Nothobranchius furzeri: one gene and its partners. The protein of the gene in region 3 interacts with the protein of the main gene of each other region in a pairwise test. Links are inferred from orthologs where the notes say so. Each region holds a gene or a part of one and is shown on either strand. Other genes may lie near its edges. The genes, in order: gnao1b, gnaz and rgs19.

Evidence for each region.
Region 1: the proteins of rgs19 (region 3) and gnao1b interact in a two-hybrid assay, tested with the Homo sapiens proteins (2 studies listed by BioGRID). The link is inferred for Nothobranchius furzeri from reciprocal best matches to the Homo sapiens genes RGS19 and GNAO1.
Region 2: the proteins of rgs19 (region 3) and gnaz interact in a two-hybrid assay, tested with the Homo sapiens proteins (2 studies listed by BioGRID). The link is inferred for Nothobranchius furzeri from reciprocal best matches to the Homo sapiens genes RGS19 and GNAZ.

The regions. Positions count from the first base shown.
Region 1 is NC_091749.1:60,166,322-60,170,076, reverse strand, and holds the start of gnao1b (guanine nucleotide binding protein (G protein), alpha activating activity polypeptide O, b), read right to left. Parts: upstream 2,901-3,755; 5' UTR 2,751-2,900; coding exon 2,633-2,750; intron 2,518-2,632; coding exon 2,475-2,517; intron 540-2,474; coding exon 398-539; intron 188-397; coding exon 27-187; intron 1-26. UniProt on the Homo sapiens protein: Guanine nucleotide-binding proteins (G proteins) function as transducers downstream of G protein-coupled receptors (GPCRs) in numerous signaling cascades.
Region 2 is NC_091746.1:50,897,211-50,900,865, forward strand, and holds part of gnaz (guanine nucleotide-binding protein G(z) subunit alpha), read right to left. Parts: 5' UTR 3,592-3,655; coding exon 2,869-3,591; intron 1-2,868. UniProt on the Homo sapiens protein: Guanine nucleotide-binding proteins (G proteins) are involved as modulators or transducers in various transmembrane signaling systems.
Region 3 is NC_091755.1:43,015,850-43,019,604, forward strand, and holds the start of rgs19 (regulator of G-protein signaling 19), read right to left. Parts: upstream 2,942-3,755; 5' UTR 2,732-2,941; coding exon 2,675-2,731; intron 1-2,674. UniProt on the Homo sapiens protein: Inhibits signal transduction by increasing the GTPase activity of G protein alpha subunits thereby driving them into their inactive GDP-bound form. Binds to G-alpha subfamily 1 members, with the order G(i)a3 > G(i)a1 > G(o)a >> G(z)a/G(i)a2.

The DNA of each region.
Region 1 (3,755 bases), on a different chromosome or scaffold from region 3:
TTAGGAGGTGTTTTTGCTGTACTCACTATTGAGCAGAGTCATTAAGCTGGTATTCTCGGGCACGGTTGAAGCACTCCTGAGTCCCGGCGTCGGCCCATAAACGCTTCATAGCAGCGAGAAGCTCTGCGGAGTACGGCTCCGTGTCCTCCATACGACTGACGACATCACAGACCAGCTTGGCATCGGCCTGGATGAAACATGTTTCATAAGTTCAGAGGAGCAGAAGAAAAAATGTCTGCTTGTTAATTATTTACCAGCAGCTCAAACGACTTTCTGGGATGATTTGCAGTCATTTCTTTACTGTCACAGGTCAAATATTCCCAGAAAATGTTTTTTTATCTTTAGGAAAAGCAAAGCTAATCTTTAGAAAACTTGGTAGGATATGAGTGAGACTAACTTTCCGGTCCTTGTCTCCAAACTCAATCCCGAGGGAATCCATGGCTCGGAGGATGGCTGCCAAGCTCTGGATGGTGTTGCTGTAGACCACTGGCTTATACTGCTTCACATCATCCCCAGAAAAGCCATCTTCATGGATAATCCTGCATGCGTACGGAGATATTATCAAAGCCTGGACCGAGCAGGAAAAAAGTTGCAAATGTCCATATGTTCCTGCGTTACAAAACAGCTATCTTGTTACAATAAAAGCCCCAGGTTTTTATGAAACTCAGTAGGCCTGCGTGTGTGTGTGTGTGTGTGTGTGTGTAGTGATTATTTTATTATGTTTGTTCTCATCCTCTCCCCATGTTTCTCTCATCTAAGCATGAGCCTAACGGGAAATGGTCATATTCTCTCTCTGCGATGTGTAACCGGGCAGTAATGTGATATTTCAGTCATTTATAATTCATGAACTGAAATCAATCAGACCACTGATCAATCACGGCTCCACAACTCTGGACTGTTAAACTTCTTACAGCATTAAAGCATCCATCAGCGGCACATCTTCACCCTGACCAGATCTATAAAACATCCTCCAGAAGCCCACTCCCACAGCTACTTCATTCTCACCGCCGTACAGCAAGGAGGGGTGGGGTTAAAAGAAAAGATGTGGGATGATTGTTTTCATCTCATCAGGGCACATTATGAAAAGATGTTTCACAGCCGACTACAGCCACCTGGCCTGAATCTCCAGCACCATCATCACAATTAACAGTTTTATGAAATACAATAAATTGACCCTCAGGGGAGGGGGGGTGGGGATGAGCTGAGGCTGAAGCTTTATGGAGCAAACAGATGAATATTATCAACTTGAACATTTGGAAAGACTAAATGCTAATAATAATAATAATTATTATTATTATTATTATTATTATTATTGTTGTTGTTATTGGTTTTAAAGAATAACTTATCAGCAGTAGTTAAAAAATAAACCGCTGATGTTTCTACAGCAGCCTACTTGAGTAATTATTAAAATCTACAACGCCCTTTAAATTGTTCTTGAAGTCAACTCGTCCCTGTTAGTTTGGACATGACTCCACCGTCTCGCTCATGGGCCAAACCAGAGAAGCTCGTCTGGATGTGAAGATGATGGTGATGAGGATGAGGCAAAGAATCACAGCAAAGCCCAGTGCATGAACCCTCCGATACCTAGACTTTATGACCCAGAGCATGTAGTAAAACCCATCCATCTGCTGCTGGCCCGTGGCTAAAGCAAGCCCGGAGAGTATTTGTAAACACTATTTGGACCAGCATCTTGGTTCGGAGCAGAGCAGTAAGTTATGGACAACCAGGGAGCTCTGGGAGGGTAATGAAGAGGAAAAAGGGAGGGTGCAGTGAGTCGATGCAGAGTGCAGAGCAGAGCAGGAAGGAGGAGACACTCAGATGCTGCTCACAAAAGAGCTGCTGCATGGTTGACGGGACAAAATGTGAAAGAGCTCTGGTTTTTTGTGCAGAAACATCTAGAAACTTGACTAAGAGGTTTACATGAAACAAAAGCAGTCGTTTAAAACACCAAAGAGTCATTTAGCTCAGACACGAAAAGGTTTAGATGCGGTTTTAGGAGCCATATTTCTGCGTAAATCCGCTTTATAGGCAAAGTACTCCCGGCGATATCAGGCACTTAAAGCCATTAAGATTAAAAGCAGAGGTATTCACTAATGGAACAGCAGTGACCTCACTGTAATTCACACACGCACGCGCGCACACACACTGCACACACACACACACAGACACAGACACACACACGTCCCCAGTGGCACACTCCCCGTAGTCAAGCAAAACCTTCGTTAACTACATTTCAGCACCCCGGCAGTGAACAGCACCCTGGGACGCACCGGCGGCCTCCGCAGCCCTGCTGACGGTCTGCAGGAGGTGCTCGAGTCACCGGTGCTCCTCCGGGGCTTCGGCCTCTCGGAAACATGGCGGCTCAACCTGCCTTAGTGCTGACAGGGGAGGCGCAATCTCAGGCCTTTCACTCCGGCTGAGTTGGAGAATACCGATATGATATAAATAAATAAACAAATCAGGCTGACACTTACTTCATTTGTTTGACGATGGTACTTTTCCCGGATTCTCCGCCGCCTGCAAAGAACGGAGGGCAGAGAGAGAGCAGGCATTGAAATCAGTACCACGGAGAGCACCTCCGCCCCACGCAGTCCCAGCAGCAGCCCCGCGGCCGCGCCGCCGCTTCCCTTACCGAGCAGGAGCAGTTTGACGTCCTTGGCGGCGACCAGCCCGTCCTCCTTCAGGTTCTTCTCGATGGCCTTGCTCCGGTCCAGAGCTGCGCGCTCCTCGGCGCTCAGTGTACACCCCATGTTTCCAGGCGAATGAGCGGTCCCGTCGAGTCCCCAGTCCGCCCTGTCCCTCTCCTGCTCTCGGTCGCCGCGGTGTCTCTCAGTCTCGCTCTCCTCCCGCGCTGTCTGCTACAGCATAGGCCCGGATTCGGAGCGGAAAATAGAGCCGGGATCCCGAAACAGTCTTCTCTCCGTGAATGTGCACTCTCCGTTCCGTCCCCTCTCTCAGAGGGGGGTGGGGGGGTGGGGTCGCTGTGCGCTAGCCTGCAGGGTTGGGGTTGTTGTTAGGCGGGGAGAGCGGGGGGGTCTCGAGCTCTATCTCTCTACAGGGCGGCGCTGGTGATGATGACAGAGAGCACGAGCGATTTCACCGTATACTTTCACGAAGGCTGGCAGGAGGTGGTATGGCAGGCTGTTACCGCATATAATCAACAACGTTTTACATGTCTCCTGTTCAGAAATAGGTCGATTTAAATTACATTTTTGAAAATTCTGATTTAAGGTGGGTTGGTGTGTAATCGGTCACATGGCATCGTATCGAATTTAAAATATATTGCGAGCTTAAAAGAGTTTTAATCATAAGATGGATATGTAAGGCATCGATTGTTCAATTATTTTAGCGGAAATATACATTGCAAGTTTCTAAAAAGGCCGTTTTTATGCTCAGTGAAAATCTGACATATGTCAGTCATTCCTTCTTAAATTATTGAACGCTTCCCACTAGTGTTGTGGGCTTTCTTTTATACACAGATCTAGGCTACATGGTAAAACAATACGAAAACACATTTTATTTAACATTTCTGCTAAAAATTCCAATTCACACGTTTTATACAAACGGTAAGTCAAATATTCCTACCGCTAAAATTAGCTAAATTTGGTCATTTTGCATCAGAAACATTAAGGAAATAAAATTTTCAACAAAAATGCTTCCTAAAAAAACTTTGTCCAAATGTAAAAAAAATATCAAACTTACATTATAAATGAGAAATCATTACAATAGTTTTAATCGCACACACAAGAATTAAC
Region 2 (3,655 bases), on a different chromosome or scaffold from region 3:
CATGTTGGCATCATAAGTGAGGAAGGAGGTTGTAGGAATAAGAACGTTGTGCCATTCCACTTCACTGCATTAAATAAAGGGGTGGTTCACACAAAATGCTCAAGAGTCTTCTCCTTGTGTTCCACTCCCACTGCAGTCATGTGGTGTATGAGGCACGAGTTAGCCAGCACTTTTCACTGGGTGATTCTCAAAGCCAAGGAACCTCGCCTTGATGTCTTGGCCCCACCCCGGTTACCTAGGAGATACGTCATCAGGAGCTGCGAAGACGTGTTCCAATGTTCATGTTCTATCGAGGCATGTGTTCTTCAATTGTTAGCCGTTTAGCTAGCTGAGCAAGGATACTCAGGAGGTGTCTTGTAGCCTAGCCTGGGTCAAAATTTTCCCAAATTACACTGCACTATTTTCAAAAGGATGGCAGATCAGAAGCCAGCAGCTTCGGAGGCAAATTTCAAGTTTAAAAGTAAGTCAACTAATTTAAAAGGTTTTTTTTAGATCCAAAGAAGTTATCTATGGTTGGTTAGTTGCTTACTAGTTGCAGCTTTGGTGGCTAGCGGGTAGTAACTCACATATATATTTAATTTCACAAATATATAAACAATTTAAAGAGTAATTGGCTTGACATATTTATATTGAAGCTTATACGATTAAAATATAATGTCATCTCCCATATCACGTAATGTTATGTGCCTGCCCTGGAAGCCACAGTCACATGATGAACGCCTGTTCCATTTAACCGTTTTCTTTGACCAAGGAAGTACAGTGTCCTTGTAAGCAAGGTGCCTGGTGGCCAGGCACCTTGACATTGAGAAACACAGTGTTGCTGTTAGCTTCCTGCATCACCCTTTGCCTGTATGGCCAGCCTAAGTCATGCCCATCAACTTCCGGACCATGGGTCCCCTGAAAAATGAAAAAATGAATGCAAGTCAATGGGGCTAAAAACATTATTTCTGATTCCGCTTGTTATGTTCTATGGATTTCACATATGTTGTCCGTGAATTTAAAAAATGCATTTTGATACCAATAAAGTGCTTATTTTTGCACTGGAGGAAAAGCTATTTTAGGTTTTGTATGAAAATAAGTCCGGGACTACAATTACGCTTCCTGGAAGTGACGTCATTGAACCAGACATGGAGAAAAACAGAGGGAAAATGGCTGTAAGTTCAGTGAACTTCAAATCCTTCCTTCAGGAGGAAAGAACCACCATAAATCTGGACATTTGGTAAGTAGCAGTTACGCTAGAGGAGAAGATATTGTGTGGTGACGTCACATATGCGAAGTGACGATGTTTGGTTTGTAGTCATGCTAATTATGAACTTTTACAAACTGATAAATCTCAAAGTACGTGACAGGTGTGATGGAAACACCCATCATTAGTTTTCATTTAAATTGCAGTACAACATATGTGCAATCCAGGGTCTAAAGCAAAGCAGATTAGAAAATGGCGTTTTTAGCCCCGTTGACTTGCATTGATTTTTTTCATTCTTCCGGGGTCCCATGAGCCGACCGGAAAGGGAGGAGACTTTAGGTCCCTGCTGGCATGACAGCTGGTAACACGAGTTCAAACAATTATTCTATTTGTCCAGTTAACATTAACTTGTAATTTGAATGGACAACCATCAATGTCTAACTTAAATTTATAAGTTAAGATAAAGTAGAACTGTGGGTATGTTTAACAAGACAAAATGTTTTTCCACTTGGTTATCTAACAAGATTTGTTGTTTCAACTCACAATATAATATTATAACAATGCATAGTTATTATTTATCATATTTGTACAACTTGACGTTTAGAGTTGAAAGAAAGCATTAATTTAAGTTGACATGATTCTCCAATAATAAGACAGTAGCTAGATTTCTCCCTAGTGGCTTTCTAAATATAGTAAAAAGTCACTAAGTTGGCCACTTTTTTACTTTTTAAAAAGAACAACGTTCCATTTGTTTACATTGAGGGAATAAGACTTAAAACTGGGCAGATGTTTTTTGTTCCAGCTTCAATTTAACATTTAGCTGTCTAGTAAAAAACAATGAATTAGTTGATGGGGCTAACTAGTAATGAAATACTCCATTACCACAGATCTACTGTGGCTGCATGTTTGCTGTAATAACTAGAGGCATCATGGTTCAAAGGCAAGGAAACTCAACACACAACATCTTTTGGAAACAAAGAACTTGTTCCAATGTAAAGCAAATGAGCCAGTTTTCATATTTTTGTTGTTTTATAAAGATTACATAGATTTTTTCCCCAATTTCTTTAACTTAATATCACGTATAATACATATTAAATATGTATTACATATAAAACAACACATTTCTTTTTGTACTTACAGTCATTAGATAAAAAATCATCTTGTAAAATAAAAAAGGATTCAAAAAGTAAGATAAACTAACTTCGAACATAAATCTGCCATTATGTAAACTCAGATAGTCTGAGTTAGACCTGCTTGTGTTCCGGGGTATTTTGTTTTTTAGTGTAGTAGGGGATCTACAGGGAGGAAATGACACAGCAGAACAAACTTTTGTTGTTTCTCGGAAGACATAAATCTTTTGTTCCAAACAGTACTTGTTTATTTCTGAAAATTTCCATCTCGGCTGTGTCTGCCAAAAAGCCGGCGAATGGTTTTGTAACTAAAAACAAAATTATCTTCATCTGGTTGACTGAGAATCATGACCACTATATTTATGATTTCATCAATAATTAACTTACATAAGATGAAACACAAAGCCAATTAACAAGTAAGTGTGTGTGTGTGTGTGTGTGTGTGTGTGTGTGTGTGTGTGTGTGTGTGTGTGTGTGTGTGTGTGTGCGCGCGTGTGTGTGTGTGTGTGTGTGTGTGTGTAGAACCGGGTCCTTTAAAGAGATTAGTCTTACCGTCTGGTTGTCCTCGTAGAGCTTGAGGTCATAGCCACTTAGCTCAACACAGAAAATGATTGCAGTCACGCCCTCAAAACAGTGAATCCACTTCTTCCTCTCCGAACGCTGTCCACCCACATCCACCATCTTGAAGGTGAGCTCCTTAAAGGTGAACTTGTTTTCCACAATGCCTGTGGTCATGTCGCGGGAGCGCAGGATGTCCTCTACAGTGGGGATGTACTCGAGCGCAGATATGCGGTCCAGGTCGTTCAGGTAGTAGGCCGTGTTGTCCTCTAAGTGGTATTCATTGGACCTCTGAAAGCACTCCTGGACCCCAGCGTCCGCCCACAGACGCTTCATCACCCCCAGCAGCTCTGGGGTGATCTCTCCTTTGCTCTCTGCTGGACCTGTGAGGGCAAAGAGCTGCACGGCATCGTAGGCGCGGTCAGGGTTGTGAAAGTCTATCTTAAGGGTGGTGAGGGCACGGATGATGCGGGTCAGTGAGTCAATGGCATTGTACAAAATCAGAGGCTTGTACTCCTTGCAGGCCTCTAGGTTGAAGCCACCACTGTGGATGATCTTCATCTGCTTGACAATGGTGCTCTTGCCCGAGTTGCTGGTACCCAGCAACAGTAACTTGATTTCGCGCCGCTGCCGCTGACTTTCCGAGCGCAAGTGGCGGTCGATTCGCCTCGAGCGCCGCGCTGCTTCCTTCTCCTCCGAGCTCTGGCGGCACCCCATGGTCCTCCACCACGTGGAAAATGTAAAGGAACTCGTGCTGCTGCAGGATGGGACAGCTAACTAT
Region 3 (3,755 bases):
GTTAGCTAAGGGCTTGATGATGTAATAATCTTTGTGTCATGTGACATCCCGTTGTCCCTCCTTTTCTGCTACGCTAATAATATTTTGGTAACAGGGTTGAACATATGTTGTGGGACACAAATCCCATGCATTTTTAGTAGAGCTGCACAATATATCGCAAATATATCATTATCTCGATGTCAGCATGCGCAACACGCATATCGCAAAGAACAGATAAACATCGCAATTAGAGCTGAAACAACTAATCGATTTAATCGATTATAATCGATTATTAAAATTGTTAACAACTTTTTTAGTCATCGATTAGTTGTTTACTAATCACATTTTACCGCATAAAGTCTTTTTTTACCACAATCTGACATCTGTTACAATCTGTTAAATTTGCCGCCAGTGTGTGGCAGTAATGAGCCACTGATCTACCAGTGGAGCCGTAGAAGAAGAAATGAGCCAATAAGTGCCCTCGGTTTTCACGACGCATCACGTTACTGACGCTCATCTTGCTGTGAGAGATGGCGGAACAAGAAGAAATACGGAAGAAAAATAGAAGCGACAAAACTGAAGAGAAACCCCGGACAAAAACCTCACAAGTATGGGAGCACTTCACTCTAGATGCCTTGAAAAGACGGGTGACCTGCAAAATATGCAAAAACCATCTAGCATGGCACGGAAGCACGACGTCCCAAAGTGAACATTTGAGACGAAAACATGTGGGGGCTGATGCAGCAGAGGAAAGTCCGGTAAATCCGGTAAGTAACAGAAAATAAACAAGCTAACGCAGATCAAATTTGGGAGCTGAGTTCGTTATAGTGGATGTTAAACATGTTTTTTTGCCGCGTCAGTCTACGGTGTTCTACTTCTGATTGGCTAGATGCAATCGTGAATCTCCTCCGTGTTGTGTATCATGCACTTGCCAAATTTAGCACATCTGTTTATAAGAATGTTCTCGTTAAGATAAAAACGGCACAAACCCATAACTATGTTCCTCATTCAAAAAAGGACAACTCCGCGGAGAAAAATATACAGACGAGCTGTGTCCAGGTGAATATAACGCGGCATAGTTGTACGCTTTCAATTTTTAAATACAGGAGAAATTCAGAAAGTCCTTTTTTACTATTAAAAGGCTGTTTTACTATCCAACGCTGTAAAACGCCTCACAACACATTTTTGTCAAAATAAATGATCACTGTATATTGTTAATTAATTCAAATAATGTAATATTGATTGAGTGTTGTAGTGTGTGTGCTGCTTTATTTTATATGTGTACTTATTTCAGTCTATTTGTGTTTCTTATGCAGAAAAAAACAAGCAATGATGGACAACTACATGGGGAACAAGACACTCACCCCCCAGCAATGCATACCACTTACAAACTCTATTCTAGATTCTACATTATTTTTATGGAATTTACCTCTCATATTTTGATGCCAAAAAATTATTCTTTTACAACGCTGACTGTGTTCATGTGCAATAAAATAGATTGCAGTCAACTGCACAATTCTCTTATGTTTTTCTTTTTCTTAACTGAAATGTATTCATCACTTGTATAGGTTAAATAGCTAAACAATAACAAACCGATTAATCGAAAAAATAATCGACAGATTAATCGATTATGAAAATAATCATTAGTTGCAGCCCTAATCGCAATGAATGGCCAGCTCAGATGTTTGCTACGCATAATGGATTCTATCAAAAGGAAGCATGATGTTTCTTTAACAAATCAACAAGGAGCTCTTCACCCATTTGGCCAATTGGGTGGGTTCTCTTGGGTTAGAGTCCCGCCCCCGAGGCGGACGACACTTAATTTTGACAGTAAACACCTGAGCTAGCGTTGTTCTGCTCTTTCTGCTGATTCTGCTTTTCCCGGGATCCACTGATTCCCTTTTCTTGTTCGTTTTTCCCCCCTTTCCTCACATCTTTTGCTTTTCTAATTTTTATGAATTTTTTCTTCTTTGTTTTTGATTATTTTTGTTCCTGAGTTAAGTTTTAATTTATCGCAAGTAATATCGTCATCGCAATATTAATCATTGTTTTAGTGTTATTTAAATGCGTTGATGATCATAGTAATAGTTTTAACAATTACTACAAACACATGTAAACAAAATGAGGCAAAAAAGTATATTTAAAACGTATTTTAACCATTTTATTTGACATCGGTGGGACAAGAGAAAAACAGCATTTTAGGGAGCTTTGACATTTGCATTTTCAAAGTTATTTAGAAACATATTTTACAGTTGTTTTAAAGAAAAACAATAATTTAGAAGGTAAATATGTGTTTTAGGGTTTTGTGCATGGATTGTTTGATTATAGTGGGTGGGACAGAAAATGTCCCTGAATTCTGGAATGACCCAGGTGCCACGAGCCAGAGGCCCGGGAACAGGTGACTCCTCAGCAGGCATAAAACAAAGGTAACCGCTACTTTTCTGCTCAGGGGGGCAGAAACGCCCCCGTTCGACTCTACGTCACGAAGAAAACCGAATCAGTGAGGCGGAAAACGGCGAACCGGAGGGTTCGCTCGCTCCGTTCACCGCTCGCAAAGAGAAAGGAGGCGAAAAAAAGAAACGAAAGGGCACTCCGGCGGAGGAAGGAGGCAAGAGAGGGGAGGAGGAAAGGAACCAAGGAGACCTGAAACCAGCTCCCCTCCCAACTTCCAGCCCGCTCAGCAGCAGATACTCACAATCTGGGCATGAGGACGGTTCGGAGGGCGGGATCCGCTGCGCTGTCGGAGACACATCTGTGAGACGGCTTTCTGCCCTGCTGTCCCGCACCGGGGAACCGGGGCACGTGCCCCTGGAGTCCTATCTTCTTTATTTACCTTCCTGTGTCGATGTGTCTGAAGGAGTCCTCCTCCTCCTTCCGCCGCTCTCCTCCTGCTCGGATTTTCCCAGCGAGCGCGAGCGCGCGCGCGCGAGAGAGAGAGAGAGAGAGAGAGAGAGAGAGAGAGAGAGAGAGAGAGAGAGAGAGAGAGAGAGAGAGAGAGAGAGAGAGAGAGAGAGAGAGAGAGAGAGAGAGAGAGAGAGAGAGAGAGAGAGAGAGAGAGAGAGAGAGAGAGAGAGAGAGAGAGAGAGAGAGAGAGAGAGAGAGAGAGAGAGAGAGATCACCACCCTGGCGGGCACGGTCCACACAGCGCATGCGCGGAGCCACATGTTCGTTCATGCAGAAAACCCGGAGTACCTGGAGTATTTTCTGCTACACACTAAAAGGGGGTTAAAAATAAACCACAAGCTTAGGCAATGAATTATACATTTGTTATATTTTATATTTATATATATATATATATATATATATATATATATATATATATACACACATACACATACTCAAATATTTTTTGGACCGTCTGCAGTGTCACAAGTTTTATTTCCATCCAGTGTTGCCTTCATTTTTAAGTACTTCTAATAGATTAGAAATCCCTCAGTGGCATGGGGCAGAATACATGTCCGAACTCCTTCAGGTGTCTACGCCCAGCAGGGCTCTGAGATCCTTAGGAAACAGTCAGCTGGTAGAACCTTGGGTCAGTGATGATGATTTTAGCTACTATGCTGCAAACGGTTGTGCCCCAGCTCTAGTAGCATTTAAATCCAAAATCAAATTTAAAAAGCCTGTTTGCTATTAGAACTGTCCATAGGCTCATCTATTGGCTTTGCTGATTCTTGCTAATGTGTGACTGGCCATTCCTGCCACCTGTGTACTTGACAGTTCTGGATTCCTGACATTGCATATAAGAACCTCTAGGCTGTAGTTTATACATATTTTTT